Linked DNA regions of Anolis sagrei. The protein of the gene in region 2 interacts with the protein of the main gene of each other region in a biochemical or structural test. Links are inferred from orthologs where the notes say so. Each region holds a gene or a part of one and is shown on either strand. Other genes may lie near its edges. The genes, in order: CCNT2, CDK9, CTDP1 and MBP.

Region 1 (7,966 bases), on a different chromosome or scaffold from region 2:
TGAATTGACATCAAACTTGGACACAATATACCTATCAGGCCACTGAGTGACCTTCACTCATGAAAACACTGAAAAACACAGCGGAAGGGACTTAAAAGGTAAAAAAAAGCAAAAAGACGCTACAGTGCATGCACAAAAACAACTCCCCCAGCAAACAACACACATAATAGCATATCCACACTCTCTTCCAGACTACAGTTCCCAGCATCCCCTAGACCAGGCCCTTTTGGAGGAGGAGGATGATCTAAATGCACTGCTTCCAAGCTGCAAGCTTTCTTCTCGTTGGATTTCTTTGAGAGCATCCCAATCCCTGCACATTTCCAATTTCCTATTCCTGGACTGCAACTCCCAACAATCCTCCAGATAGATTAGAGATAGATAGGTAGATAGATAGATTGATGGATCAGGAGGACTGCTGGGAGTTGCAGTCCAAGAATAGGTAAAGAAAGAAAGGGGAAAAATAGGAAGGGAAAGAAAAGAGGGGAAAAGAAGGGAAAAAAAAGGGAGAAGAAGAAAAAAGGGAAGGAAGGAGAAAAAGGAGAGAAAGAGGGAGGGAAAGTTGGCCACAGCAATACATGGCAGGTACAGCTAGTTCAGGTATAAAATACTACATAGCGATGGTTTGGTCATTTTTATTTTATCTTTAAAAGGTGAGAAGTTTTTCTAACATTTCCAATAATATAATTCTAAAAATGTTATGTCAGAATCTGGAATAAACTGCTCAATATTATCCACTCAGTATCACCCAGTTTCACCTTCTAGATGAATAAATAATAATACCAGATTTATACAGTTTTCCCATTATATATTTTATCTCCCGTTTCAATTATTTGCAACTGGAGTCAAAGGAGGGTAAGCATAATTGCTTATCTTAGTGCAGGTTAAGTTTCCATTATCTGGAATCCTGAAATCCGATATACCACAAATCCCAAAAATGTGCACAAGGGAGGTTGAGAGAGTGACACCTTTGTTTTTTGATGCTTCATGCGCAACTTAAAAATACTATGAAATTATCCGTAAGCTATACAAGCAGTCTCAGAGTTACAAACATCGACTCATAGTGAAGAACAGAGGTGAGACAACAGGAAGTGACAAACATCTACCCTTGGAAGGGAAATTCACTCCTGAAGGAGTTATCATGGGGAAAAGGTGTCTCCACTGACGCTTTCTCACCAATCCTTGCTTCCACACCAAGACATTTTTTTCCAAAATCCAATTATCACAGGGACAGAAAGTGAGGTGAAATCTTCTGAACAGGAACACAGAGCAAAGCGAACCCAACAGGGGTGTTATGCCTTCCCTATGCTAACTAAAACTACATACACACACACACACACACGAGTGTGTGTGTGTGTGTCTGGATATACACTTTAAAAGTGTACCTGTTTGACTTATATACAAATTCAACTTAAAATATACAGAACCTATCTTGATCGTAACTTGAGGACTTGCCTGTATCTCTGTCTGTCTGTCTGTCTGTCTATCTATCTATCTATCTATCTAAAGTGTCTAAGAACCATAAAATAATTTCGTGTTCAGACATGGATCCCAAGACCAAGATACTTCTTGATATATGTATATGCAAATATGGGTATTACAAAAACGGGGGGGGGGGGGGGGGGGAACACCCAAAATTCAAAACAATTCTGGTTCAAAGTATTTTAGATAACAGATACTCAACCTGTATTAAACAGACTCAGTTTACAGTTTATAAGTGGCAATAACGAGTGACCAACTTTCCTGTATTTCCAGGGAACTCCTGTATTTTGGATCCTCCCAGCTCCCATACTGGCTTTGTATTTCTCTAGTATTTCAAAGGCTGAAACTTGGTTACCCTAGGTAATAACAATAATAATAATACAGTAGACTTTCAGTTAACTAGATTTCAAGCAACTGGAACTCCCAGGAAATCAGCAAAAAATTAAATACTACTTTACATTTAAATTGGAAAAAACCCCTAATTTTAAGGGGAAATGTACAGTTTAAATTGAAGTTTGTTAGTGATGTTCATTAAGTGAAGTGTATTGGCCACTTAATTGAAATTGCATACTGCACTCATGAAGTTGTTTATAATACAGTGAAACTGTGTTACATTAAGTTATATTTGCTTTTATTTACTTTTAATGACTTTAACATTAATTATATCTAAAATTGTAGTTTTTGTACAAGAGAAAAAATATTGTAGAAATCAAAAAGGGAGTATGAAACATTTTCTTCCTTTCCCATACCAAAGAACATACAGAGAACCTTCTGGGTGCCCCTTTCCCCCTCCTTACGCACTACCCGCCATTTAAACAGCATGGGGGGCATGGCAAGTATTTCACGGGGCAGTGCAGACGCTTTACACAGGCCACAACGTAAGATAGAAATCGAGATTTGCTTTTGTGTGGTTGTGTGAGAAGTTGCATAACTAACTAGCTTCGAAGTGCATGAACGAATACAGCTAAATAAGTGTGCAGATGGGGCCTGCATCCCCGTGGGGTTCCAGGCGGCGGCGCCGAGCTCAAGCCTCCTTCCTCCGCGACTCCCGGGGGAGCCTGAGGCGCCTTGCCTAGAAGAAGGGAGGAGCCAGGCAAGGCCTGCGAAGGCCCAAAAGCCTGAGGTGGGGCCCTTCCTCTCCGCCAGCCACCAGAAGACCCTTTCTTTCCCAGCCACGCCTTCCTTCCCCGCTTCTTGCTGCCCTCTCTGCCCCCCGCTGCCTCCCTCAGGCCCAGGCCCAGCCGCCAAGGATACACGTTGAGGCGCTGGCCCATGTCCTGGATGAGGTTGGCCGCCTGCTGCCGGTACGAGAGCTCCTTGTCGGCCTCGACGCCGCAGCGCCGCGAAGGCGTACTCTCCAGCTGCTCCCGGCTGAAGAACCAGCGAGAGCCGCCCGCGCCACGAGATGCCGCCGCCGCCGCCGCCGCTGCCGCCGCTGCCGCCGCTGAGCTCGCGCCAGGCCCGGAACCCGTCGCAGACGACGCCGCCATGACACGACTTCCTCCTCCACCCGCAACCGGCGCGCCCGGCTCAGGCCCCGCCCCTTCCTCCTCCTCCTCCTCTTCCCCCTCCGCCTGTTCTGCCATCGCGGCGCCTCTCGCGAGAGCTCCAATCCGCGTGGCCGAAAGCCTGCCGGCTCTACGCTGCACGCGGCCTCCAATAAACCATAGAGTCGCCGGGAAAGGTGAGAAAGGCTATAGAGGCGCTCGAATAACCTCTCCTGGATCAAACCGGAAGTCGGAGAAAGGCTCGGGAGCTTTTGTTTTAGGCCGCTTCCCATGAAGATGTATTATGCAACAGTATAGTAATACAGAATACTAATGTTGTGCTGTGCTAATAATATATTGTATACAAATATAATATTGATAATGTTATAATGTAATACAATATAATAATACAATACAATAATGTTATATTTCATATTACATGTAATATTGCTAATAATAAAACAGAATAGTGGCATCATATAATATGGTATTATATATTACAATATACATGGTGAGGCAGCATAACTTCTTTTTTTCAAAACTTAATAAAACCCCTTGTATCAATCAGAATTTTTTTTATATAATGTAGGCGCATACCTATTTCTAGGCGCAAAGATGACTGCAGATGCAGACTGTGGCCAGGAAATCAGAAGATGCTTACTTCTTGGGAGGAGAGCAATGTCCAATCTCGATAAAATAGTAAAGAGTAGAGATATCACTCTGGCAACAAAGATCCGCCTAGTCAAAGCCATGGTATTCCCTGTAGTCACCTACGGATGTGAGAGCTGGACCTTAGGGAAGGCTGAGCGAAGGAAGATTGATGCTTTTGAGCTGTGGTGTTGGAGGAAAGTTCTGAGAGTGCCTTGGACTGCGAGAAGATCCAACCAGTCCATCCTCCAGGAAATAAAGCCCGACTGCTCATTGGAGGGAAGGATACTAGAGACAAAGTTGAAGTACTTTGGCCACATCATGAGGAGACAGCAAAGCCTAGAAAAGACAATTATGCTGGGGAAAGTGGAAGGCAAAAGGAAGAGGGGCCGACCAAGGGCAAGATGGATGGATGGCATCCTTGAAGTGACTGGACTGACCTTGAAGGAGCTGGGGGTGGTGACGGCCGACAGGGAGCTCTAGCGTGGACTGGTCCATGAGGTCACGAAGAGTCGGAGACGACTGAACGAATGAACAACAACAGGCACATACCTAAAGTTTTGTTTTACGTAGTTTTGTAGATCAAATTAGGTAGGTGACGTTCCCCATTCTCCATTCTCCATACACAGAGTAAACCGATTTCTGGCGTTTGTCATGACTCTTGCCAGCATAGCAGGCGTTATGTTGGCAATTTCTTCCTGGATGTTGGTCTTCAAATCTTGTAGGGTCCTTGGACTGGTCACATAAACACGAGATTTCAAAAAAACCCATAGAAAAAAATCACAAGGGGCCAAATCTGGAGAGCGGGCCGACCACTCCAAATCCGCTTGAAAAGTAGGCCTCAGCGGCAAAAGCACGCTCCTCACTGTTCCAATGCATGATGGCGTCTGAACTGTGTCAGGACAAAACTTTATACTCCCGCCTCTCAAACAAGACCACTAGCGCTCCACTAAGTCTTGAGCCGACTGAATGGTGCGCATTTTAAAAAAGGAAATTATGCTGCCTCACCCTGTATAATACAATATATTAATATATAATTCTAATATTGTGCTATGCTAATAATATAATATATTGTATATACATATATTGATAATGTTATAATGTAATACTATATATTACTTTATATTATATTACAATATATTAGAAATAGTTTTCTAAGATCTACAGAGACACTTGCTGGAACACCTCAGCAAGCAAGAGTCCAAAAGTGGCAAGCTCAAACCCAGAACCTCAATCAATGGCTGATACCAAATGAGAGACTCCCTCTTGGGCGCACAGAAAACTGGGCGACTTGGAAAGCGCTGAACAGACTGCGCTCTGGCACCACAAGATGCAGAGCTAACCTTAAGAAATGGGGCTACAAAGTGGAATCCACGACATGCGAGTGTGGAGAAGAGCAAACCACTGACTACCTGCTGCAATGCAACCTGAGCCCTGCTACATGCACAATAGAGGACTATAGTAATATATAATACAAATATTGTGTTGTGCTAATAATATATTGTATACACATACAATATTGATAATGTTATAATGTAATACAATATAATACTAATAATAATGCTTATTTGTTGTCGCTTCTGACTCTTTGTAACCTCATGGACCAGCCCAAGCCAGAACTCCCTGTCAGCTGTCGCCATCCCCAGTTCCTTCAAAGTCAATCCAGTCACTTCAAGGATACCATCCATCCATCTTGCCCTTGGTCGGCCCCTCTTCCTTTTCCCTTCCATTTTCCCCAGCATAATTGTCTTCTCTAAGTTTTCCTGTCTTCTCATGATGTGGCCAAAGTACTTCATCTTTGCCTCTAATATCTTTCCCTCCAATGAGCAGTCAGGCTTTATTTCCTGACTGGTTGCATCTTCTCGCAGTCCAAGACACTCTCAGAACTTTCCTCCAGCACCACAGTTCAAAAGCGTCTTATCTTCTTTTGCTCAGCCTTCCTTATGGCCAGCTCTCACATTCATAGATTACTATGGGGAATACCATTGTTTTAACTGTGCGGATCTTCGTTGCCAGTGTGATGTCTCTAGTCTTCACTATTTTATTGAGATTGGTTATTGGTCTCCTCCCAAGAAGTAAACGTCTTCTGATTTCCTGGCTGATGGCAACCTACCCCAGTATTCTTGCCATGAAAACATTATTATTATTATTATTATTATTATTATTATTATATATTTCATATTACATGTAATATTGCTAATAATATTACAGTATAGAGGTATAGTACAATATAGTAATATATAATACTAATATTGTGCTATGCTAATAATATAATGTATTGTATGTACATATAACTTGTAAGCTGCTCTGAGTCCCAGAGCAGTAGTGTAGTGGCTTGAATACTTCATGCACACTGTAGGGATACCTCTACACCAGGCATGGGAAAACTCCCGCCCTCCAGGTGTTTTGTTAGGAATTGTGGGAGTTGAAGTCCAAAACACCTGGAGGGCCGAAGTTTGTCCGTGCCTGATCTGCACTGGAGACTTAATTCAGTTTGCATCACTTTAACTGGCATACACCCTCTCCCTCTGGAGACCAAGGTTCAAATCCTCGCCCAGTCATGGAAACTCAGTGGGTGACCCTGGGCAAGTCATACTCTTTCAGCCTCAGATCGTGCCATCACCGCTCAAGCAGGGAGCTTTGAAATGATTGAACATAAGCTCTCCGAAGCTTTATGTGTCCCTACTGCCTATTACAGCGAAAGCCTAGCTTTTTGAAACCAAAAGTATTGTCAGGTGTACAATTTTTTTTTTTTTAGAAACAGACCAAAAGTCCAGTGAGTATTTGCATTGCTGAAAAAAAAAACCCACCAGTAGATCTAGGAAACAGCGCCCAAGCACCCCTCCGTGTAATCTCAATTTTCTACTCTAGAAAACTGGTTAAACCTCACAGGACAGTTTTGAATGGTGCAGAGTTGTGAGGAAAATACATACAGTTGGGGGGGGGGGGGGGTATTTAGTCAGATAGCAATTGTACAAGTTCTCCCATTTAAAAAGATGATAGAGGCCTGTAATTGACATCATAGGCAGTCCTCAACGATGAGAGACAACATGAGAAAACACATCCAGAAAATCACATTGTCTGATTTTTAACGAATTTATTTGCAAATTATGGAGACCAGGGTTCAAATCCTCACCCGGCCATGGAAACCCAGCGGGTGACCCTGGGCAAGTCACACTCCCTCAGCCTCGGCAATCCTCTTCTGAATAAATCTTGCCAATAAAGTTTTATTCGTACCTGACCTATGTGATAGAGTTGCCATAGGTCAGAAAAGGCACCCAACAACAATTTTGTAAGGGCCCCCATTCATTTTGAACGGGCTCTGTCTAATGTGTCGATTAATTTGTTTTTAGCCATTCAAAATCATTATAATGATTCAAACTTTTAAAACAAAATTAATGCATAATTCATGTCATTTGAGGCCTCTTCAACTGCCATGGCTCCATGCTGTGGAATCCTAGGATTTGGAATCTGGTGCAGCAAGGAAGGTTAAAACGGCAGTGGGCCATGGCAGTTGAAGTGGTATCAAACTGCATTAATTGGACAGTACAGATAAGTCTGAATTCCCTCCTTTGGGCTTACCACCATCTCAGGGCCGTGAGACTGAACCAAATAGGTACAAATATCTCAATGAATGGCTTAGACAAGAACTTAAACAACCAGGAACAGTTTATTCAAGAAAAGGCTTATCACAACAAACACAAATGCTGGCTCACTGCTTCTAGCAGTGTCACCATTTGTATCTGACTCCAAAACTTCTGGAGCCCTAAAACTACTTTCTCTTCTCTTGTTTCTCTCAGACAGAACTGTGTCTCCCTCAGTACCATTCCACTCAACTGTCAGTAATACATTCAAAACTTCGTCAGTTAAACTGTCCTATGGGCTTTCCCCTTCACCCCGCCCTCCTCAACATTCTCTGGACTGTGATTGGCTGTTTCCTTCTGATTCTGCTGTCAGTCACAATAATCTTAGGTGATATTCCCACTATGGAAGGGTTCATAGTCTGGGTTCAAAGAGCCAAGCCTTAGCCCCCAACTATAGGTATAAAAGAGCCATAGAAGTTGTATTCCAGGTTGAACATCCCTTATCTGGAATTCCAAAACACCCCGAAATCAAAAATTTCCTTCGTGGTTGGCTAAGACAGTGACACCTTTGTTTTCTGATGATTCAATGTACCCAAACCTTATTTCATATACAAATTTAATTTTAAAACATTGCATAACATTGTCTTCAGGCTATATGTATATGGTGCACATAAAACACATATTTCGTGTTTAGACTTGGGTCTCATCTTCCAGAGATAGATACATTTTATATATGTACTAGCCGTCCCCTGTCACGTGTTGCTATGG
Region 2 (7,420 bases):
AAAATATATAGGAAGGAAACAGGGAGGGAAGAAGGGAGGCAAAGAAGTAGAAAAAGGGGGAGGGAAGGAAGGAAAGAGAGAAGGAAGGATGAAACCAAAGAGCGAAAGAAGGAGTGAAAGAAAGAGGTAGAGAAGAAAGGAGAGAAATGGGAAGGGGGAAAAAGGGGGGGGGGAGGAATAGGTAGGTACTGCTCTTTCATAATAGTCCAGATATCTACCTCTTCTTCGAAAATTCTTACTATATGCCACAGCAACGCGTGGCAGGACACAGCTAGTAAACATATACACAAATATACACACACACAAAACACATATACACAGACTGGGCCACAGCAATGTGTGGCAGGGGACTGCTAGTAAAATATATTTATATTTCTAGAGCTGTGTGGAAGGGCCCTCAGTGGTTAGACTGCTATACCTGGATATTTCTCTGAACTGTTAGGAACAAAGTTATGCCAATGCACAAAATATATAGATCTTCAGAAGTGTTATTTCAGTTGCCCAAAACATTTACTCTCTCATACAATATATTTATATTTCTAGGGCTGTGTGGAAGGGCCTCCAGAGCTGGAGAAGGAAGAAAGTAGAATCATAGAATGCAGTTGGAAAAGATCCCATGGACCATCTAATCCAACCCCCTTCTGCCATGCAGGAAAGGCACAATCAAAGCACCCCCGACAGATGGCCACCCAGCCTCTATTATTATTATTATTATTATTAGTAGTAGTAGTAGTAGTAATAGTAATTGTGTTAGAAACCAATTTAAGGTGATGGAGCCCAGAGGGCAGGGAGGAGACGAGATCCGATGAGGTTTTTCAACAAGTCTTTTATTTTCAAGCTGATCAGCATTGAGACAGACAGCCCTTGACCGTTCAGGTCAAAGAACAAAGACTGCCCGCCCCTTGTGGCTCTCTTAACCAAGTTTTTATACTCAACACTCAGGCAACTTTTGATTGGTCCTTCTATGTTTTTAACATCAAAGCCTATAACAATGATTCTGTTGGAATGTCTGACCCTGAGCTGTGGCTTCTCTATATGCAAGTTGCTTATCTACATGGCTGAGAAAATTTAAGGAGTAAGGGAATGAGCTTACCCCCTAACTTACTGCTTGTATCTTTGACTGAAAAAGAACACAGAGAACAATCATTCTTTCTCTATAGACAGGGCTTCTGGGACTTGTAATAATTGGGAATTTAATTTTCTAAATCACATCTCTCTCAGTAGTAGAAGCAACAACAACAATAATGGAGTTGGAAGAGACCCATCCAGTTCAACTTCTGCCATACAGGAAAAGCACAATCAATATTATTATAGAATCATAGAGTTGGAAGAGACCTCATGGGCCATCCAGTCCAAGAAGGAGGAATATTGCATTCAAAGCACCCCCAACAGATGGCCATCCAGCCTCTATATTATTATTATTATTATTATTAGTAGTAGTAGTAGTAGTAGTACAAGAAAGGAGATTCCATCTGAACATTAGGAAGAACTTCCTGACTGTGAGAGCTGTTCAGCAGTGGAACTCTCTGCCCCAGAGTGTGGTGGAGGCTCCTCCTTTGGAGGCTTTTAAACAGAGGCCAGATGGCCATCTGTCAGGGGTGCTTTGAATGCAATATTCCTGCTTCTTCTGGATGGCCCATGAGGTCTCTTCAAATCTATGATTCTATAATAATAGAGTTGGAAGACACCCCATGGGCCATCTAGTCCAACCCCTTCTGCAATGCAGGAATAGTACAATCAAAGCACCCCCGACAGATGGCCACCCAGCCTCACTATTATTAGTAGTAGTAATAGTAGTAGTGGTACTAATAATTGAGTTGGAAGAGACCTCATGGGCCATGCAGGAAAGGCACAATCAAAGCACCCCCGACAGATGGCCACCCAGCCTCAATATTATTATTATTAGTAGAATTATTATTATTATTAACTTTATTTGTACCCTGCTAGCATCTCCCGGAGGACTCGATGCAGCTTACAAAGGCCAAGGTCTCAATACACAACATAACAATACAAAACCTAAAGCAAATTAAAAACAATTAAAGCAATATTAAACAACAAGCAATAAACAATACACCAAAACACAATAAAACTGGGCCGGGCTAGAGTAATGGGTACAGAATTAAAAGTGCTGATGTGGCAATAATAATAATAATTGAGTTGGAAGAGACCCCATGTGCCATCCAGTCCAACTTCTGCCATCCAGGAAAAGCACAATCAAAGCACACCCGACTGATGGCCACCCAGCCTCACTATTATTATTATTATTAGTACTAATAATAGAGTTGGAAGAGACCCCATGGGCCATCCAGTCCAACTTCTGCCATGTAGGAAAGGCACAATCAAAGCACACCCGACTGATGGCCACCCAGCCTCACTATTATTATTATTAGTAGTAGTAGTACTAATAATAGAGTTGGAAGAGACCCCATGGGCCATCCAGTCCAACTTCTGCCATCCAGGAAAAGCACAATCAAAGCATCTCGACAGATGGCCACCCAGCCTCACTATTATTATTATTATTATTATTATTAGTAGTAGTAGTAATAATAATAGAGTTGGAAGAGACCCCATGGGCCATCCAGTCCAACTTCTGCCATGCAAGAAAGGCACAATCAAAGCACCCCCCACCGATGGCCACCCAGCCTCATTATTATTATTATTAGTAGTAGAAGTAGTAGTAGTAGTAATAGAGTTGGAAGAGACCCCGGAAAATGCACAATCGAAGCACCGGAAGGCTGTTAGAGATTGTGGGAGTTGGTGTGGGCCCAAGTTGGCCTAGGCCTGCTTGAGAGAAGGGAAGGAAGGAAGGAAGGAAGGGGAGGGTGCTCACCCGAAGGTGCCTTGCCCGATCTTGGCCAGCTTCTCGTACTTGGAGACCTCATCGCAGAAGGGACACTCCACCGTGTCGTACTGCTTGGCCATGGCAGAACTGGCGACCCCGACCTCTTCTGGCTGCCGGCGGCTTCCGTCTGAGGGGCGTGCGGCTGCACTTCCGCCCGGCCTCGCCTCCATCCGGGACGCCACTTCCGGTAATCCGCTTCCGCCGCCGCCGCCATGCACGCCGGGAGTCGTAGTTCGAGAAGGGGGCGGGGCTTGCGCGAGAGTCCGGAAGTGGGCGGCGAAATGAGCGGGAAGGATTGCAGCTGCTTCTCCTCTGGCCTGTCTGGCTCTCCCAAGTAACAACAACAATATTGCAATGGTAGAAAACAACAACAATAATATTGCAATGACAGAAAGCAATCCTAACTAATAATAATAGTACATATGTTTATATAGGAATATTGATACCACTTTGAGGGAAAAGTAGAGTACAAGGTTGCAAGTCCGCTTGAGGCCTTCATTAGACTCAGTGGAAAACAAAGCTTTGGAAAGAGGGATCGAAGACACAGGGAAAGCCTGGCTTACAGTAAAGGCAGGAAGTTTGAAATGAGTAATTATTATGATTGGGCTGCTGTGATTTTTTTTGGAACGTGTGCCCATCTTCCAGCAGCATTCTCTCCTGACGTTTCACCTGCATCTGTGGTCAGTGGCATCCTCTGAGGTTCTTTTGTCAGTGAGGCAAGTGGAGAGTATGTATGCTAATAATATTGTGTGTGTATGTATGTATATATGTGTGTTGCGTGCGTGTATATATATGACAAAATTGGGGCAAACTTCCTGTGCGTGTGTGTGTGTGTGTGTATATATATATATATATATATATACACACACACGCACAGGAAGTTTGCCCCAATTTTGTCATTAGTGGGGATCACAATGCTCTTTGATGTAGGTAAACTATAAATCCCAGTATCTACAATTCCCAAATGTCAAGCTCTATTTTCCCAAACTCCATCTGTGTTCATATTTGTGCATATGGAATATTCGTGCCAAGTTTGTTCCAGATCTATCATTGTTTGAATCCACGGTGCTGTCTGGATGTAGGTGAACTACAACTCCCAAACTCAAGATCAATGCCCATGTTAGTCATGGGAGTTCTGGGTGCCAAGTTTGGTTCAATTCCATCATTGGTGGAGTTCAGAATGATCTTTGATTGTAGGTGAACTATAAATCCCAGCAATGACAACTCCCAAATGACAAAATTAATTTTTTGAGTAATGGTCACTCCTTGGGTTATTAGGTGTCTTGTGGCCAAATTTGGCAGCAATTCGTCCAGTGGTTTTGAGTTCTGTTAATCCCACAAACAAACATTACATTTTTATTTATATAGATATATCTTGTAAACCGCTCTGAGTCCCCTTCGGGATTGAGTCTCCTTCGGGAATAGTGCCCAGGGTGGGAGAAAGAACCCTGGTCTGTGGCAAGTGTGAATGTTGCAATTGGCTGTCTTGATTAGCATTTAATGGCCTTGCAGCTTCTAACCCAGACTGGTTGCCGCCTGGGGATATCCTTTGTTGGGAGGAGTTAGCTGGTGAATGGGTTGTTGTAGGTTTTTCGGGCTATATGACCATGTTCTAGAAGCATTCTCTCCTGACGTTTTGCCTGCATCTATGGCAGGCACCCTCAGAGGTTGTGAAGTCTGTTGGAACTAGGAAATTTGAGTTTATATATCTGTGGAATGTCCACCCAAATTTCCTCGTTCCAACAGACCTCACAACCTCAGAGGGTGCCTGCCATAGATGCAGGCGAAACGTCAGGAGAGAATGCATCTAGAACATGGCCATATAGCCCGAAAAACCTACAACAACCCACTGATTCCAGCCATGGAAGCCTTCGACAATAGCTGGTGAATGTTGCAATTAGTATTGAGTGGCCTTGCAGTTGCTGAGTCAATCAGTGAGGGTATTTATTGGCTGTTGTTGCCTGGAGGCATCCTCTGTTTGTCTTTCTAGTTTTTTTTTTCATAACTTTTATTATGTTTTCGCACAGTTGAGTTGAGCTTCAACGTTTTTACCAATTTTAACATATTATCCACAACATAAATTCCTTGAATTAAATAAAGATGGGTGCTGTCCCCTCCTGGACCTAACCGCTTCATATATTATTTCCAAAACATCATTGTTTACACTGCAGGTTTGCTTCCTTGCCCTTCAGCACAGACATGTGCTATCAATTTCCCCCATATATTCCAAAAAACATTTAATTTCCAAATTATTTTTTAGTCTTATGTCAATTTATCGTTTATTGCTATATTCCACACTTCTTTGTACCAGTCTTCTATTATTATTGTTATTATTATTATTCTATCTGAAAATCATGTTTTTATTTCCAATTTTTCGCTATTATCAGCCTCACTGATGTTAGTAAATTGGAAATTAACTCCTTTGTTGTGTTGTCGAAGGCTTTCATGGCTGGAACCACTGGGTTGTGGTGAGTTTTCCAGGCTGTCTGGCCATGTTCCAGAAGCACTCTCTCCTGACATTTCACCCACATCTATGGCAGGCATCCTCAGAGGTTGTGAGATCTGTTGGAAACTAGACAAGTGGGGTTTATAGATCTGTGGAATAATGTCCAGGGTGGGAGAAGGAGCTCTTGTCTGCTTGAAGCAAATGGGTAATGTTGTCATTGACCACCTTGATTAGCATTTAATGGCCTTGCAGCTTGAAAGCTTGGCTGGTTTTGATATTGGAGGTGACCTCCCCCTCCCCCAGGACTCTGTAAAAGATGGTTCAAAACCAAGGAATTCATAGTTTTACCAAGGACACCAGGTTGGAATGATCTCATAATCCCCTATTTTGCAAACATTAATAATTTAAACCAATCAAAAGGACATTTCTTCATTTTTTTTCCTGTTACCTGCCTCCCTTCTACCCATTGGCTGAGAGGCCGAAGCGGCGCTGGCTTTCTCATTGGCTGAGGCATGCCTAAGCCGGCCGCACCTCCCCTCTAGCTGATGACTCCAACCAATCAGCGTGAAGCCGGCTAAGGGGGACGGGGGCGGGAAGTTTGAATTTGACAGCTCTGTTTCTCTATAAAAATGTACTGTTCTGTCTTGCAAAACATGTCAGTTTTTGGCAAGGGATTGCAGCTTGACATCCGTACCAACTGGAACAAAATAAGGGCAATTTGATGGCATTTTCTTCAATTTGGTGAAACTTTTATCGGGAAAAATCAGGGAAAATTCTTTGGGTGCTTCTATCTGTCTTGCCAGGGTGAACGGACTCTCTTTGGTGGGTCTGACTGGTCTCTGTCTCCTGGCAAAGACCCCTAAATTCTTGCTCGATATTAGTTTCATGTCAGGGAAATTCCTGATATTAAACAATCAGGGCCAGTTAACACCTCACAACAAAGGATCCCCCAGGCAGCAACCAGCCAAGCTTTGAAGCTGCGAGGCCATTCAATGCTAATCAAGGTGGGCAATTGCCTCCAAGAGACAAGAGTTCTTTCTCCCACCCTGGACATTCTGGAGATTCTGGTTTTCCGAAACATGCAGCCAAAAAAACTCACAGCAAACCAGTGCTTCTGGCCATAGAAGCCTTCGGTTACGACAACACACTCCTTGAATAAGTAATGGCAAAGGGATCCCTATGAGAAGGCCACCTTAAGCAGAAGTCAGCATGATGGTACACAACAACAAGGACACATGCCTTGGGATGTATTTTTCCATGGGGAAAAGGGAAGTGCCCTTAAGATATGGTTGCACAGCTCCTGTTCCATCCCGCAGGGGCACTGGGGGCGGAGTGACCTTTGTGCTCCTGGTGCTCCACTCTGCTCTTTGGCTGAGTCGCTTCCTTGCTTCCTTTCTCCCCAGGCTGATGTTTTCTCCCTTTTTTTGTAGGATCTCTCATCAGATAAGAGGCCTAACAATGGCTCCATTTGAAGGCTGGCGGACCCTGTCCAGTTTCAAGGGGCTATTTAGTTTCCACAGAGCTTGAAATGACAGTCATGGGTCCGTTATGTGTCTTTCTTTAGGGGCAATCAATCCTCCAACTTAAGCTACTGAGGGAGAACAGGAAGGGGCCTGGGGCTGTTAGGAATTGTGGGAATTCCAATACATCTGGTAGGAAGGTCAAAGTTTACCCATGCCTGGCATATCCAAAATTTATGAATTAGATACAACTTACTAATTACTAATAATTTCGTATATTGTCTATATGAAATTGACGGTTGAATCTGTAGATCTGGGGACTGCAGATACAGAGGACTCACTGTATGTAATTCAATTTGGAAAAAGGAAGTAAAAAAAATACAGTATGCACAAGAGAACTCAGGCTTAGCTTCTCACTCTAACGTAGTGTTGCCTGAACTGACTTTAAGGTAAACAACTTGTTGTTTAATAGACACCCATGAAATTGTTGGTTCCTGTGAATTTCCTTCAGAACTTTCTCATGTAATCTCTCTGAACGACACAATCTATTTTTGTCTCTAATTTATAAACACAGACTTTTGTTGATCTCTGTAGCTATACGTGGATTCCCATGGGAACCCTCCTTATCACTCAGATCTTTACTTGATTCCTTATTTGCTGCTGCTTCTTCTG
Region 3 (7,017 bases), on a different chromosome or scaffold from region 2:
AAAGTATTTATGGTGGAATCACCCCACCTGAGTTATTTTTGAGTCTAACACAGTGTTTCTCAACCTGGGGGTTGGGACCTCTGGGGGAGTTGTGAGGGGGGTTTCAGAGGGGGCTCCACAGACCATCCGAAACATATATTTCTGATGGTCTTAGGAACCCCTTTGACAGAAAAGACTGAAAATATCTCCACCTGTCCTCTTCTTTTTTTGGTGTTGGGGAACTACAATTCCCAGTATTCAAAAACAGCCCCCTCCAACCCCACCAACATTCAATGGTGGCCATGTAGGTAGTGTGCCAATTTTAGTAAACATCCATTGTGGGCTGGGTTCAGAATGCTTTTTGATTGTAGGTGAACTATAAATCCCAGCAACTACAACTCCCAAATGTCAAGATCTATTTCACTCAAACTCTACCAGTGTTCACATTTAGGCATATTAAGTATTTGTGCCAAGTTTGGTCCCGATCCATCATTGTTTGAGTGCACAGTGCTCTCTGGATGTAGGTGAACTACAACCAAAACTCAATGTCAATGGCCACTAAAGTCTTTCAGTATTTTCTGTTGGTCAGGGGAGTTCTGTGTACCACATTTGGTTCAATTCCATCGTTGGTGGAGTTCAGAATGCTCTTTGATTGGGGGGAGGGCTGATATTGTCATTTGGAAGTTGCATGGTTGCTGTTCATTCATTCAGTCGCTTCTGACTCTTTGTGACTTCACGAACCAGCCCACGACAGAGCTCCCTGTCGGCTGTCACCACCCCCAGCTCCTTCAAGGTCAAGCCAGTCACTTCAAGGATGCCATCCATCCATCTTGCCTTTGGTTGGCCCCTCTTCCTTTTTCCTTCCATTTCCCCCAGCATAATTGTATTCTCTAAGCTTTCCTGTGTTCTCATTATCTGTCCAAAATACTTCATCTTTGCCTCCAATATCCTTCCCTCCAGTGAGCAGTTGGGCTTTATTTCCTGAAGTATGGACTTGTTGGATCTTCTTGGGGTCCAAGGCACTCTCAGAATTTTCCTCCAACACCACAATTCAAAAGCATCTATCTTCCTTTGCTCAGCCTTCCCTATGGTCCAACTCTCACATCCGTAGGTGACTATGGAGAATACAATTGCTTTTACTATGCGGATCTTCATTGCCAATGTGATGTCTCTACTCTTCAGTATTTTATCGAGATTGGTCATTGCTCTCCTCCCAAGAAGTAAGCGTCTTCTGATTTCCTGGCTGCAGTCTGCACCTGCAATAATCTTTGGACCTAGAAATACAAAGTCTGTCACTGCTTCCATGTTTTCTTCCTCTATTTGCCAGTTATGAATCATTCTTGTTGTCATAATCTTGGTTTTATTGATGTTTAGCTGCAGCCCAGCTTTTGCACTTTCTTCTTTCACCTTGATTAGAAGGCTCCTCAGCTCCTCTTCACTTCCAGCCATCAAAGTGGTATCATCTACATATCTAAGGTTGTTAATGTTTCTTCCAGCAACTTTCACCCCAGCCTTGCATGCTTCAAGCCCTGCACATCGCATGATGTGATCTGCATACAAGTTGAATAGGTTGGGTGAGAGTATACAACCCTGCCGTACGCCTTTCCCAATCTTGAACCAGTCTGTTGCTACTTGGTCCTTGTACAGATTCCTCAGGAGCGAGACAAGGTGGCTTGGGATCCCCATACTACGGAGAACTTGCCACAATTTATTATGATCCACACAGTCAAAGGCTTTAGAATAGTCAATAAAACAGAAATAGGTTGGGTGAGAGTATACAACCCTGCCATACGCCTTTCCCAATCTTGAACCAGTCCGTTGTTCCATGCTCAGTTCTTACTGTTGCTACTTGGTCCTTATACAGATTCCTCAGGAGAAAGACAAGGTGATTTGGTATACCTATACCACCAAGAACTTGCCACAATTTATTATGATCCACACAGTCAAAGGCTTTAGAATAGTCAATAAAACAGAAATAGATGTTTTTCCTGAAACTCCCTGCCTTTCTCCATTACCCAGCGGATACTGGAAGTTGTAGTTGCTGGGATTTATAGTTCACCTACAATCAATGAGCATTGTGAACTTCACCAAGGATAGAATTGGACCAAAATTCTCCCACAGAACCCGCATGAAATACTGTTTTCTGATAGTCTTCGGCGCCCCCTCTGACACCCCCTCGTGATCCCTCCCAGGCTGCGAAAGGCGGAGGTAGGGGGAAGGAAGCTGGCTTCCTTCTCCAGAGTCAGGGCGAGCGCGAGAGGGCGGGGGAGGAGGGGCGGGCTGATGCCGTTCTTGGCGCCCTCCCTCCCTCCTCCTCCTCCTCCTTCCTGCGCCAGGGATGGGGCGAGTGCTGTGGTGCTTGCTCAGATGAGCTGCGCGGCGAGGCCTAGTCCCGCCCCGGCTGCCCTCCCTCCCTCCCTCCGCTCCTCTCCTCCGGACTCACCCGGGCGGGATGACTTGTCCCGGCCGCGCGCACAGCTCCCGCACCACGCCAGGCCGCTCCGCTTTGACCTTCCGCTCCGGGCCCCGCGCCTCAGAGGCCGCGATAGGCGCGCACACCGCCAGCACCGAGCCGATTTTCACCGCCGCCCCGGCTGAGACTTTCCACTCGAGGAGCCGCAGAGGCTGCGGGCCGGGGACCCGGATCTCCGTCACTTCAGAAGCCGAAGCGGCGGCAGCTGCTCCAGGGTCTTCCTCCATGGCCTCCTAGGCCGGGCCCGTCCGACGCGGGGTCGCTATGGCAACGGCCGCCTCAGCGATAAGAACCGAATGCCAAACGGCAGCTCCCCCCCCTCTTTCCTCCCCTCCCCCTCTTTTTCAAAAAAACAACAACAACACGAAGAAGTAGTCACGAGCAGCGCAGCGGACGGAGCGCGAGGTCAAGACTCTGCTGCGCAGGCGCACGGCGCCGCCGCTGCTGCTCCGTCCCTGCTGCCTTAAAGGAACAGCCGCACCAAGGCGAGAGGAAGGCATCGCAGGTCTGACGATGGAAAGTTTTAAGCCACGCCCTTCCTGCTTCGCGCGCTGGCGCTGGTGACGCAACGGGGCCCGAGCCCTCTTCCCCACCCCTCCGCGTGGGCTGCATAACAGACGAGCCGGTGGGACGCGCATGCGCGGCAGAGTTTGTGTCCCAGCTTTTAAGCCCTGGCTAATGCAGTTTGAACACCACATTACAGGGTGGGGGTGGGTGTTGAAACTTTTTTTTAGCAAATCATGAAGAGTAGTTTGATAACACAACAACAACATTTTTAATACAATCCAAAGACCCTTATTGCTCTGTAAAAGGTATGCAAAGTTAGTAAGGCCAAAAATAGCCAAAATGGATTAAAACACATGACGTGGGTGGAATTAACAGCAGATAAAACTAGCCCCAGCAAACAAGAGTCCTTTGTCCCACCCTGGTCATTCCACAGATATATAAACCCTTTTCCCTAGTTCCAACAGATCTCGCTACCTATGAGGATGCTTGCCATAGATGCAGGCGAAACGTCAGAAGAGAATGCCTCTAGACCATGGCCATATAGACCAAAAAAACCTACAACAACCCAGCAGATAAAACTGATTAAACATGGATTAAAACTTATAACCAGCATTTAAGATAGCAATGACTTAGGTAAAAGACTACAAAGGGTAACTGGCATGTTTCATTTAAAGAAGTTTCTTCACATTCGGAAAAAAACTCTCAATCACAGACAAGATATGCTTCCAGTGCATTTGATGGTTTTTCTGCAGGTGCAATTTCATAGACTTAGCATGGGGATTTGGTTAACCAGTTAAAATTCATGAGTTAACCAGGTTGCTCCCTCCCTATGAGTTCCTCTCACATATTTATACATGGCTATCATTTCTCATCTCAGCCTTCTCTTCTTCAGGCTAAACATGTCCAGCTCTTTAAGCCGCTCCTCATAGGGCTTGTTCTTCAGACCTTTGATCATTTTAGTCTCCCTCCTCTGGACACATTCCAGAGTCCACAGCAGACAAGATCACTCTGCTGGCTGTTGTATTGGATCACTCATTTGCTTTCTGGATTTTTGAATTAAAACCTTTTAAAGACGTGGAAGGTTGAATCCGTGGATACAGAATTAATGGACAAAGAAGGGTGATGCTCCCTGAATGACGGATTATGAATTTTAGCAAAGTGACCTGTGGCAATCTCATTTTCCCCATATTCTGTTTACTGGATATGGGAAGCCAAAGCTTTTCACAGTGGGTTATTGTTGTTTATTTGTTCAGTCGCTTCCGACTTTTCATGACCTCATGGACCAGCCCATGTCATGACCTGAAGCTACCAGTTTTCAAAAGTTCTCTAATAAAACATTAAGAAAAGGGTCATTCAGCTGTTATTGGACAATTCCCTCATTTTATATTAGTTTTGAATTTTCTATAAAATATAAAAATTCCATTGTGGAAACAGTCCAGTTGCAGAAGGTATTGTATTTTCTTCCTTGGAGCTCCGGGTCTTCTATTCCTTCTTGCTGTCTCATCATTGTACAGTAGACTCTCAGTTAACCAGAAAACAAGCAACTGGAGTTGTCAAGCAAACGGCAAAGGTTTGTTGACTGCTGTTTAACTAAAATTGCATACTGCATTGACAAAGCTGTGTTTTTATAATACCATTTTATTTATTGCGTTTCAAAGGCATTGCATACATAAATATAAAATTGATAAAAATAGAAGGAGCACAATCAGCGAAATAATTTTTGACCAAAACTGGGCAACAGCAACCACATTGTCTGTAGCGTTAAACAACTTCTCCTCTGTACACAAGGCAGGGCATTGTGGACAAGCAAACAGGTGCAGAATTGTTTGTTCTGCTCCACAGTCGCACAAGGTGGAGGATTCTTTTAGGTAGTGCCATTTTGCCAGGTTGTCTTTTGATCTGTCCACTCCACTTCTGAGTCTGTTCAAGGACTTCCAAGTTGCCCATACTTGGTTTGCTCTTGGAGGGAGACCCTCATGGGGGACCATCCAATTGGGATTTCCTGGTTTAGCTGCCCAGAGGGATGCTCTTGCTGTCGCTGAGGGAACAGTAAGATACAATATTATAATATTATAAAATTGTGTTACATTAAGTCAGATGTGTCTTTCTTTCAATAGTACTATCATGGCAACATAGAGTTCATGATGTGGTAAAGTATGAGGTATAGTATTATTTAGCCCAAGTTTTAATAGAAACTTTCAAGCAGTCAGAAACTACACTTATCCAGCATCTATCAGTCCTCATTGAGTGCCCTTTAAATGAGAGTCTGTTGCATCAGTTTGGGATCTCGTTTGTGTTAAAGGGCTACATAGATGCATTTTTTTTTGATCCACTCATTTAGAAATTTTGGAAACTTTCAAACCCAAAGTGTCATCATCATTATGAAAAAAATGTGCATAAGCAGATTATGCCTTTGAAGTTACTTCTAGTTGTCCTTGCCCTCTGTTGGTGCCACTCCTCTGTATTTATGGCAAATTACCATAATTCCAAAGATTTACATTCCATTTGAATTTTCATTCTTCCAGAAAAGCCAGTTCCTCTTGTAAAACAGCAAAATAGACTTTTCCACAGCAACTTTAAATATCTGATGGAAAATATACAACATTTGCACTCTAGTAATCTTTAACACCTTTAGGGAATTAACAGTTACTGTATTCAAGGTCTAAAGAAAACACAGGGAATATGTGCCCCTCCTATAATTCTTCAGCATAGGGTGAAATTTTTGGAAAGGCATAACCTTTTGGGAAAAGGATGACCATTGAGATCATAACCTTTTGGAAAACCAGACTCTTCAAAGCCTTTTGGAAGCGTGACCTTTTGGAGATTAATTGGCAGTCACTACCATTTGGAAAATCATAACCTTTTTGTAAAATAAAGATCTTCCTGAGAAAAACTAAAAACTCGTTTGAGTGAATTTTCTCTTTAGCGGTATATATCCACTAGTATTGCTTCAAGGCAATTAGGTTTCTCAGTTGTTAGACTGATATACCTGGTTATCTGTCTGAACTATTAGGAACAAAGATATGACAATGCACAAAATAAATGGAAGATCTTCAGGAGTGTTTTGCTTCAGTTGCCCCCCCCCCCCCCAAAATCTACTCTCCCATAAAATACATTGGTTTTAAATAATGTTCTCATGAGACAAAAAATAAGCAGTCTTTTAAAAAAATAACATAGTTGATTTTCTTACAAACTTTATGTATTCAGCATACAGGTACATTGTTTATCAGTTGAAAGTTTAAACAGTAAGTTCTCTAAGGCATTCTGTTTCATTCTCTTCTCTGTCTTATGCCTAATGCCTAATGAAAATGACTATACAATAAAATATAACACAACACAATACTATACTGATTTCTAAAATGGAGCCTCAGTATGAATAGGCCCAGATCTGATCACATGGTCTGCAGTCTCTCTCACAACCTCAAACAACATAGAGTTAAGGAAGCTGCATATCAAAACATACATATATAATACAGCAAGCAATCTGAATTATATACTGTACATAACAACTAGTATAGGAGGCTTGTAGAAGATTGCTATTTCCAACAGAAATAAATAAGGACTAATGTCAGTTGCAATCCAACATCTGGTGATTGTGTATTCCCCACTCTGGGTGAACCTTACTTTTCCACTGTTAAAACAATTAAAGTGTCTAATCCTACATGATCCATTGGGCTTCAGAATTGTTCCTTCATTGCAATTGGCCAACACCACATTTTCCAAAATGTATCCTTAAATGATTCCAAAACAATAGCATTTTTTCCTAAAATACAAATTGAAGTGTTTTGCAGGTTGAAACACCAAGATCAAATATATAAAATAATTCAAAAAGATCTTGATAAATGCCCACTTTACATCCCAACACAGACACACACCTTTGCTTTTCAAGAATATTCACATTTTCAAACAGCAGTGTCCTCTCCAATTGATTTTTATGTTCTGCTCCCACCTCAAACCTCTTTGCTTTGTAAGTGTTTTGTCTCTGATTTCTATCTGCAATTTTATTCTTGTAAGCAGATGACATCACTTGTATATCAAGCAATATATTTTATAGAAAT
Region 4 (7,823 bases), on a different chromosome or scaffold from region 2:
TGGCACAATGGATTAAAGACTTGTGTCGACAGGACTGCTGAATCCAAGGAGAGCGGGTTGAGCTCCCTATAGTCAGCTCCAGCTCCCCATGTGGGACATGAGAGCAGCCTCCCACAATGATGGTAAAATTTCAAACATCTGGGTCTCCCCGGGCAACATCTCACACCAGAAGCAACATGGAGTTTCTCAAGTTGGTCCTGACACACACACAAAATGGGGATAGGTGGGCATGATTGGCCCTCACAATGGCCATCTATAGGGGGTACTTAGAGTATGTGTTTCAGTGTGGCGGGGATTTGGCTGAATGGTCCTTGTGATTTCTTCGAAATCTAAGGGCCCCTTCAGATTATCAATGCAGATAATCTGCATCATCTGCTTGAAACTGGATTATATGAGTCTACATTGCCATATAATCAATTTCAAAGCAGATAATCTGGATTTTATATGGCAGTGTAGAAGGGGCCCAAGGCTGCTTTGAACTGAATTATATGGCAATGTAGACTCATACAATCCAGTTCACAGCAGTTAATCTGCTTTGATCATCTGGATTATATGGTAGTGTCAATCCAGCCAAAAATTTGATAATTCTATGAACTCTAGTCCAGTGATTCTCTAGGCCCTTCCACACAGCCCTATATCTCAGAATATAAAAGCAGAAAACCACACAGTATCTGTTTTGAACTGGGATATCTGGGTCCACACTGCCATATATTCCAGTTCAATGCGAAAAATGTGGGGTTATATTTAGCTGTCTGGAAGAAGCCTCAGGGCCCTTCCACACAGAAATGTAATGCAGAATATCAAGGCAGAAAATCCTACAATATCTGCTTTGGAAAAGGGCCCCTTCCACACAGCTGAATAAAATCCCACATTATCTGCTTTGAACTGGAATATATGGTAGTGTGGACTCAGATAACCCAGTATAAAACAGATACAGTGGGATTTTCTGCCTTGATATTCTGGGATATAGGGCTGTGTGGAAGGGCCCCGGGTTATCTGAGTCCACACTGACGTATATTCCAGTTCAAAGCAGATAATGTGTGATTTTCTGCCTTGATGTTCTGGGTTATATGGCTGTGTGGAAGGGTCCTAAGCCTTTTCTTCACCATGGACTACCTTTTGTGGCCACGGGCCACCAAGAGCGAACTCAGGATTGGATGCACTAAGCTGCATCAAACAATTACTTCCATGTTCTCATGAAGGTCCCTCACATTTAGAGAGCAGGGGATACACTTCAAGCTTGTGAATGCAGACACAATTACTAGAATATCTGGATTATAATGATTTCACAGCAAAAAAAAAAATCATACCATGTCTTCAATCTTTGGCTGACCCCCTTGAGGATATTGCAGACCTCCAAGGTTGTGGAGCCCAGGTTGAGAACTACTGCCAGGGCCTTTCTACACAGCCCTATATCCCGGGATATCAAAATCCCACAATATCTGCTTTGAACTGGGTTATCTAAGGTCCACACTCAGATAATGTGGGATTTTTTGCCATGATATCCTGGGATATAGGGCTGTGTGGAAGGGCCCGCAGACTATCCATCCAGGGTGGAGGACAACCACCATCAATGGCAGAGGTGGGAAAATAGGGCTGATAAACATTGCCATTAGCCTCCCCCCCCCCCCAGTTTCTTGTTGCATTGTTTTGTTTCTGGTCAATACATAAACATACTACAGAAGAATCAATCAGTCCAATGTGCTCTCCTTCTCTACCTGTGCCCCAACCAGCCATTCCTCTCTTCTCTATCCCTCGCCAGGTTCTCAAGCTTCCTCTCCCTCTTTCTCCCTTTAAAGTCACCAGACCCAGTCTCTCTCTCTCTCTCTCTCTCTCTCTCTCTCTCTCTCTCTCTCTCTCATGGCCCTTCTGCACAGTCCTATATCCCAGAATATCAAGGCAAAAATCCCACATTATCTGAGTGTGAACTCAGGGCCCTTCCACACAGCCCTATATACCAGAATATCAAGACAAAAAAAATTCCACAATATCTGCTTTGAACTGGGTACACACTCAGAGAAATGTGGGATTTTCTGCCTTGATATTCTGGGATATAGGGCTGTGTGGAAGGGCCCTGAATTCACACTCAGATGTGGGATTTTCTGCCTTGATATTCTGGAATATAGGGTTGTGTGGAAGGGCTCTGAGTTCACACTCAGATGTGGGATTTTCTGCCTTGATATTCTGGAATATAAGGCTGTGTGGAAGGGCCCCGAGTCCACACTCAGATAAATGTGGGATTTTCTGCCTTGATATTCTGGGATATAGGGCTGTATGGAAGGGCCCTGAGCTCACACTCAGATATTGTGGGATTTTCTGCCTTGATATTCTGAGATAAAGGGCTGTGTGGAAGGGCCCTGAGTTCACACTCAGATAATGTGGGATTTTCTGCCTTGATATTCTGGGATATAGGGCTGTGTGGGAGGCCCCGCAGATAACCCAGTTCAAAGCAGACCTTGTGGGATTTTCTGCCTTGATAGCCCCCAGTGACAGGGAAAAGGGAGCCCTGGTGGGAGACAAAGCTTTGGAGAAGACCAAGAAGAATCAAGCCCAATAGCCACTCACTCACCTAAGGTGTCCTTCGCCTCTTCTTCTATGGGTTGCGCCGTGGAGGGGAGATCCGAGGCGAAGATAGGGCAAGGCCTGCGGGTGGAGACCGAAGGGACCCCCACCCAGCCGAGGAAGGCGATTGTGAGCGGGGAGGTCCCTCTCTTTGGGGGCTCACCGAGCTATCTCTCGCCAATGACAGGCGCGGGAAGCGCTGCTGGCTCCTGCTGCTCGCCTTTCCCCGCCTTCTTCCTCCACGCAAGGGTCGCCCAAAGCTGGTGTTTAGGGGGAAATCGAGCGCGCCTTGTAGCCAAAGCAAGCCTTCTGGTCCCTTTCCTGCCAGATACGGAGAGCAGGTTGTGGGGAGGGGGAGGCTGTTGCTTGCTCTTCCGCCGACGCCTCGCCCCTCCCGATGCACCTTCGCCCGGGCGCCGCCCGCTCGAGAAGAACCAGGAAGGACGGCGCGAATGGCAACCCGAGGAGGAGGAGGAGGGAGAGCAAGTAGAAAGAGGAGGGAGGCAGGGAGCACAGCCCTCCCCTCCCCGGATCCAGGGACTTCCCCGTCTTCTCATTGCCAGCATTCCTCAACCTGCCAGGTGGAGCCTCTTTCCCTCGCTGCTGCTTTTGCCTTCCGGGCTCTCCAGTCCCGCATCCCCACTTTCGGTTTGGCCCAGCGGGGAGAGCGGGTAAGGGGCTCCAGATGTTGCCGACTTCCATCCCCAGAATCCCCCACTGTTGACCAAACGGCCGAGGCTTCTGGGAGTCGAAGTCCAATCCACCTGGAGAGCCAAAGGGCGAGGTTAGAGGACAGGGTCAGGCACCTCTCTTTACCTCTTTCGCTCAAGGGTCCCGGATGGAGCCCGGACTTAGGACTCGGATGAGCCCCCGCTCCGCCATGGAAAGCCCAGTTTGGGTGAGTCACAGGCAGGAAACTCTGCCATAGGGTCACTTTAGGGTCGCTCTTAGTCAGAGACGCCTGGAAGGCACACGGAAACAAAGAGCTCCTTTCTTTGATAATAACAATAAAAAAAAAATCTTTGGGTTGCTGTGAGCTTTCCAGGCTGTATGGCCATGTTTCAGAAGCATCCCCTCCTGACGTTTCGCCCACATCTATGACAGACATCCTCAGAACGTGTGATGTCTGTTGGAAACTAGGCAAGTGAGATTTATATACTCGTTGTCCGAGTAGGATAGTCTTCCAGGGTCAGTGTCCCAGCAGTGGGGCCATAGGTGACTGTGGAGCCCTATTCTTGATCTGCATCTTCTCCCACAGTGAGGGCATTGGCTTCCAGGTGGAAGGCGGTCTCGATTGGGGTTGGCTTGACGCACCTGCCTCTTGGCACGTTTCTCTCTTTCGCCCTCCATTCCTGCCTCTTCAAATTCTACAGCACTGCTAGTTACAGTTGACCTCCAGCTGGAGCGCTCAAGGGCCAGGGCTTCCAAGTTCTCAGTGTCTATGGCAGAGTTTTTAAGGCTGGCCTTGAGCCAATCTTTAAATTTCTTTTCCTGTCCACCAACATTCAGTATTCCATTCTTGAGTTCAGAGTAGAGCAACTGCTTTGGGAGATGGTGATCAGGCATCCAGACAACATGACCAGTCCAGCAGAGTTGATGGCAGAGGACCATCGTTTCAATGTTGGTGGTCTTTGCTTCTTCCAGCATGGTGACATTTGTCTGCCTGTCTTCCCAAGAGATTTGCATGATTTTTCGGAGGCAACACTGATGGAATCATTCCAGGAGTTGCATGTGACATCTGTAGACAGTCCACCTCTCACAGGCATATAGCAGCATTGGGAGGACAATAGCTTTATAAACAAATACCTTGGTACGCCTGTGGATATCGTGGTCCTTAAGCACTCTCTGCTTCATTCGGAAAAAAGTTGCACTCACAGAGCTCAGGCGGTGTTTTATGTCAGTGTCAATGTTGACTTTGGTGAAGAGAAGTGGCTACCAAGGTAGCGGAAATAGTCAACATTTTTTAATGTTACACCATTTCTGGCATTGGAGAGGGATTGGCTGGTGACTGCTGGAAGAGCACTTTGGTTTTCTCAATGTTCAATGACAGGCCGAGCTTCTCGTATGGTCCTGTGAAGGTGTTTAGAGTGGCTTGAGGTTTATATATCCATGGAATGTCCAGGGCGGGAGAAATATCTCTTGTCTGTTTGAGGCAAGTGTGAATGTTGCAGTTGGCAACCTTGATGAACATTTAACGGTCTTGCAGCTTCAAAGCCTGGCTGGTTGCTGCCTGGGGGATCCTTTGTTGGGAGGTGTTAACTGGCCCTGATTTTTTCCTGTCTGGAATTCTCCTGTTTTTTGAGTGTTGCTCTTTCTTTACCGTTCTGATTTTAGAGGTTTTTTAAATACTGGTAGCCAAATTTTGTTCATTTTCATAGTTTCCTCCTTTTTGTTGAAATTGTAAACATGCTTGTGGATTTCAATGGCTTCTCTGTGTAGTCTGACATGGTAGTTGTTAGAGTGGCCCAGCACTTCTGTGTTCTCACATAATATGTTGTGTCCAGGTTGGTTCATCAAGTGCTCTGCTATGGCTGACTTCTCTGGTTGAGTTAGTCTGCAGTGCCTTTCATGTTCCTTGATTCATGCTTAGTAACCAGGTTTTGAAGCTGCAAGGCCATTCAATGCTAATCAAGGTGACCAATTGCAACTTTTACACTTGCTTCCAACAGAGTTCTTTCTCTCATCCTGGGCATTCCACAGATATATAAACCCCACTTGCCTTGTTTCTAACAGACCTCACAACCTCTGAGGATGTCTGTCATAGATGTGGGTGAAACGTCAGGAGAGAATGCTTCTGGAACATAGCAATACAGTCTGGAAAACTCACAGCAATCCAATTAAAGGACATTTTATGGTCAGATATATCTACAATCCTTATATCTAAATTCAAAGTCCAATCTCCTGACTAAACAGAACAAGCTGCAGCCTTCCAGATGTAACTGTATCACAACTCCCATCAGTTCTAGTTCTTGATGAGGAACATCGAAATTGTAGTCCAGCATCTGGAAGGCCACATAAAATGGCATGGTGGGCTGGATCTGACCCACTGGCCTTGGGTTTGACACATTTTCTCCCATCTCATTTGTGAAGTAAGGAAAGCATTACAGCTTTCCTTGGTGACCCTATGGTGAATCTATCCAGAGGTTTTTTTTTTTAGCAAGAGTTGCTTTTGCCTTCCTCCGAGGTTGAGAGTGTGTGACTTGCTCAAGGTGGCTTTCCATGGCTGACATGAATTTGAATCCTGATCTCCAGAGTTATAGTCCAACACTTAATCACTACACCACACATCTTAAAGGATAGTCTGACCCTTGTGTGTGTGAATGCAGGTTGGCTGTGGTTCTGTGGTGACCCCATAGGTTTTTCTTAGGCAAGGTATACTCAGAGTTGATTTTGCCAGGCCCTTCTCCTCAAATAGAGACTGTAGCACCTGGTTATTCATTGGTGGTCTCCCATTAAACTTCTGCAGTGGGTAAACTGCTGAACTGCTAAACTTGCTGACCGAAAGGTTGCAGGTTCAAATCCAGAGAGTGGCGTGAGCTTTCGCTGTCAGCCCCAGCTTCTGTCAACCTAGCAGTTCGAAAACATGCAAATGTGAGTAGATCAATAGGTATTGCTCCAGTGGGAAGGTATCATCATGCCTTGCAGTCATGTTGGCCACATGACCTTGGAGGTGTCTACAGACAACGTCGGCTCTTCAGCTTAGAAATGTAGATGATAGGCCTGGGCGGTTTCATTCGTTAATTTTGTAATTCGTTAAATATTCGTTAATTTTAGCAATTACAAAACGATTACAAAACTTATTTTTAAACCCGGAAGCGTTTTTAAATATCGAAACGGCATGCGCCAAAAAATTTTGTATTTCCGTCCATTTCGGAAATACGTAAGATGGCTTGGCTAGATGCTTGCTGGGAGCTCTCCTCTCTCTCCTCTCCTTAGCCAGTCAGAGCCTGAAAGAGGAGGAGGAGGAGGAGGAGGAGAGGGCGGGGAAGGCGCCGGCTGAGCAAGCGAGCGAGAGGGCGAGCGACCCTCAGCGGGAAGGCGGCCCGTCCCTCCTTCCTCACCTTTGCGGTGGGTGTGCTTCATTCTCCCGAGAAGGAGAGGGCGGGGAAGGCGCCGGCTGAGCAAGCGAGCGAGAGGGCGAGCGACCCTCAGCGGGAAGGCGGCCCGTCCCTCCTTCCTCACCTTTGCGGTGGGTGTGCTTCGTTCTCCCAATTCCTTAGCGGAGGGCTGTGCTTCGTTCTCCCAATTCCTTAGCGGAGGGCTGTGCTTCGTTCTCCCAATTCCTTAGCGGAGGGCTGGGCTAGATGGCCTTTGGGGAGCCCTTCTCCCAATTTCGCATTGCTTCGGAGGAGCCGGGCCCGACTCGGCGTCAGCGCTTGAGGGCCCGCCAGAGTGAGTGCCTGCCTTCCCTCCTTAATAATAATTTCTCCTCCCTATTCTACTAAATTAATAATTAAATTAAAAAATATTGAAAAAATATTGAAAAAATATTGAAAAAATATTGAAAAAATATTGAAAAAATATTGAAAAAATATTGAAAAAAAAGGGCGCCATCTTTACAAAATGTTTTGTAAATATTAACGAAATTTCGTAAATACCGAACTTTTTTAAGGGAAAATTTTGTAATTATTTTAAATATCGAAACAAAAAAACCCCCCAAATACAAATCGATTTTAGAAACAAATTTTTGCGTTGTTACCCAGGCCTAGTAGATGAGCACCAACCCCCAGATTTGGACATGACTGGACTTAATGTCAGGGGAGAACCTTTTCCTTTACTAGGCTCTCTTGATAAGCAATTTCTCCAATCTGCTCAATATGTAGAATGGAAATGACACTGGCAAAGAGTCCATAGATTTCTTTGGCTTATCGATTCCAGCCCACCAAAGTGATTCCAACCAATTGTTTGCCCAACCTATTTTAAAAGCAGGTCATAATCCAAACTTAGGGGTGGATTGGAATTCTCCTGGGTATTGTTTCTGATCTCATCACTTGTCTACCTGTCAGGAAGAGAGGTTTTGATTGCATAACACTATGTAATACAAATTTTGTTTCTGGGTTATAAATGCCATTCCCTAATTGGTTCTATCTTTAAAAACATGGCAAAAAGTTTATTAAACTGCAAAAACTTTTTTTGCAGGACAATCTGCAGCACATTTTGCTATAGATTTTTGATGAATATCTCATAGTCTCAGTCAATTCAACATAGTTTGTGGAAGCCACAAAAACAAAGTTTCTGGAGTATAATAACTGTTTCAAAGT

What was found.
Region 1: the proteins of CDK9 (region 2) and CCNT2 form a complex in vitro, tested with the Homo sapiens proteins (4 studies listed by BioGRID, with this or other methods). The link is inferred for Anolis sagrei from reciprocal best matches to the Homo sapiens genes CDK9 and CCNT2.
Region 3: of the proteins of CDK9 (region 2) and CTDP1, one has a biochemical effect on the other in vitro, tested with the Homo sapiens proteins (3 studies listed by BioGRID). The link is inferred for Anolis sagrei from reciprocal best matches to the Homo sapiens genes CDK9 and CTDP1.
Region 4: of the proteins of CDK9 (region 2) and MBP, one has a biochemical effect on the other in vitro, tested with the Homo sapiens proteins (2 studies listed by BioGRID). The link is inferred for Anolis sagrei from reciprocal best matches to the Homo sapiens genes CDK9 and MBP.

Annotation. Positions count from the first base shown.
Region 1 is NC_090021.1:214,095,578-214,103,543, forward strand, and holds the start of CCNT2 (cyclin-T2), read right to left. Parts: upstream 3,010-7,966; 5' UTR 2,970-3,009; coding exon 2,734-2,969; intron 1-2,733. UniProt on the Homo sapiens protein: Regulatory subunit of the cyclin-dependent kinase pair (CDK9/cyclin T) complex, also called positive transcription elongation factor B (P-TEFB), which is proposed to facilitate the transition from abortive to production elongation by phosphorylating the CTD (carboxy-terminal domain) of the large subunit of RNA polymerase II (RNAP II).
Region 2 is NC_090031.1:16,134,849-16,142,268, forward strand, and holds the start of CDK9 (cyclin-dependent kinase 9), read right to left. Parts: upstream 3,017-7,420; 5' UTR 3,013-3,016; coding exon 2,831-3,012; intron 1-2,830. UniProt on the Homo sapiens protein: Protein kinase involved in the regulation of transcription.
Region 3 is NC_090024.1:76,171,555-76,178,571, reverse strand, and holds the start of CTDP1 (RNA polymerase II subunit A C-terminal domain phosphatase), read right to left. Parts: upstream 3,020-7,017; 5' UTR 2,680-3,019; coding exon 2,423-2,679; intron 1-2,422. UniProt on the Homo sapiens protein: Processively dephosphorylates 'Ser-2' and 'Ser-5' of the heptad repeats YSPTSPS in the C-terminal domain of the largest RNA polymerase II subunit. This promotes the activity of RNA polymerase II.
Region 4 is NC_090024.1:74,469,143-74,476,965, forward strand, and holds the start of MBP (myelin basic protein), read right to left. Parts: upstream 3,020-7,823; 5' UTR 2,570-3,019; intron 1-2,569. UniProt on the Homo sapiens protein: The classic group of MBP isoforms (isoform 4-isoform 14) are with PLP the most abundant protein components of the myelin membrane in the CNS. They have a role in both its formation and stabilization.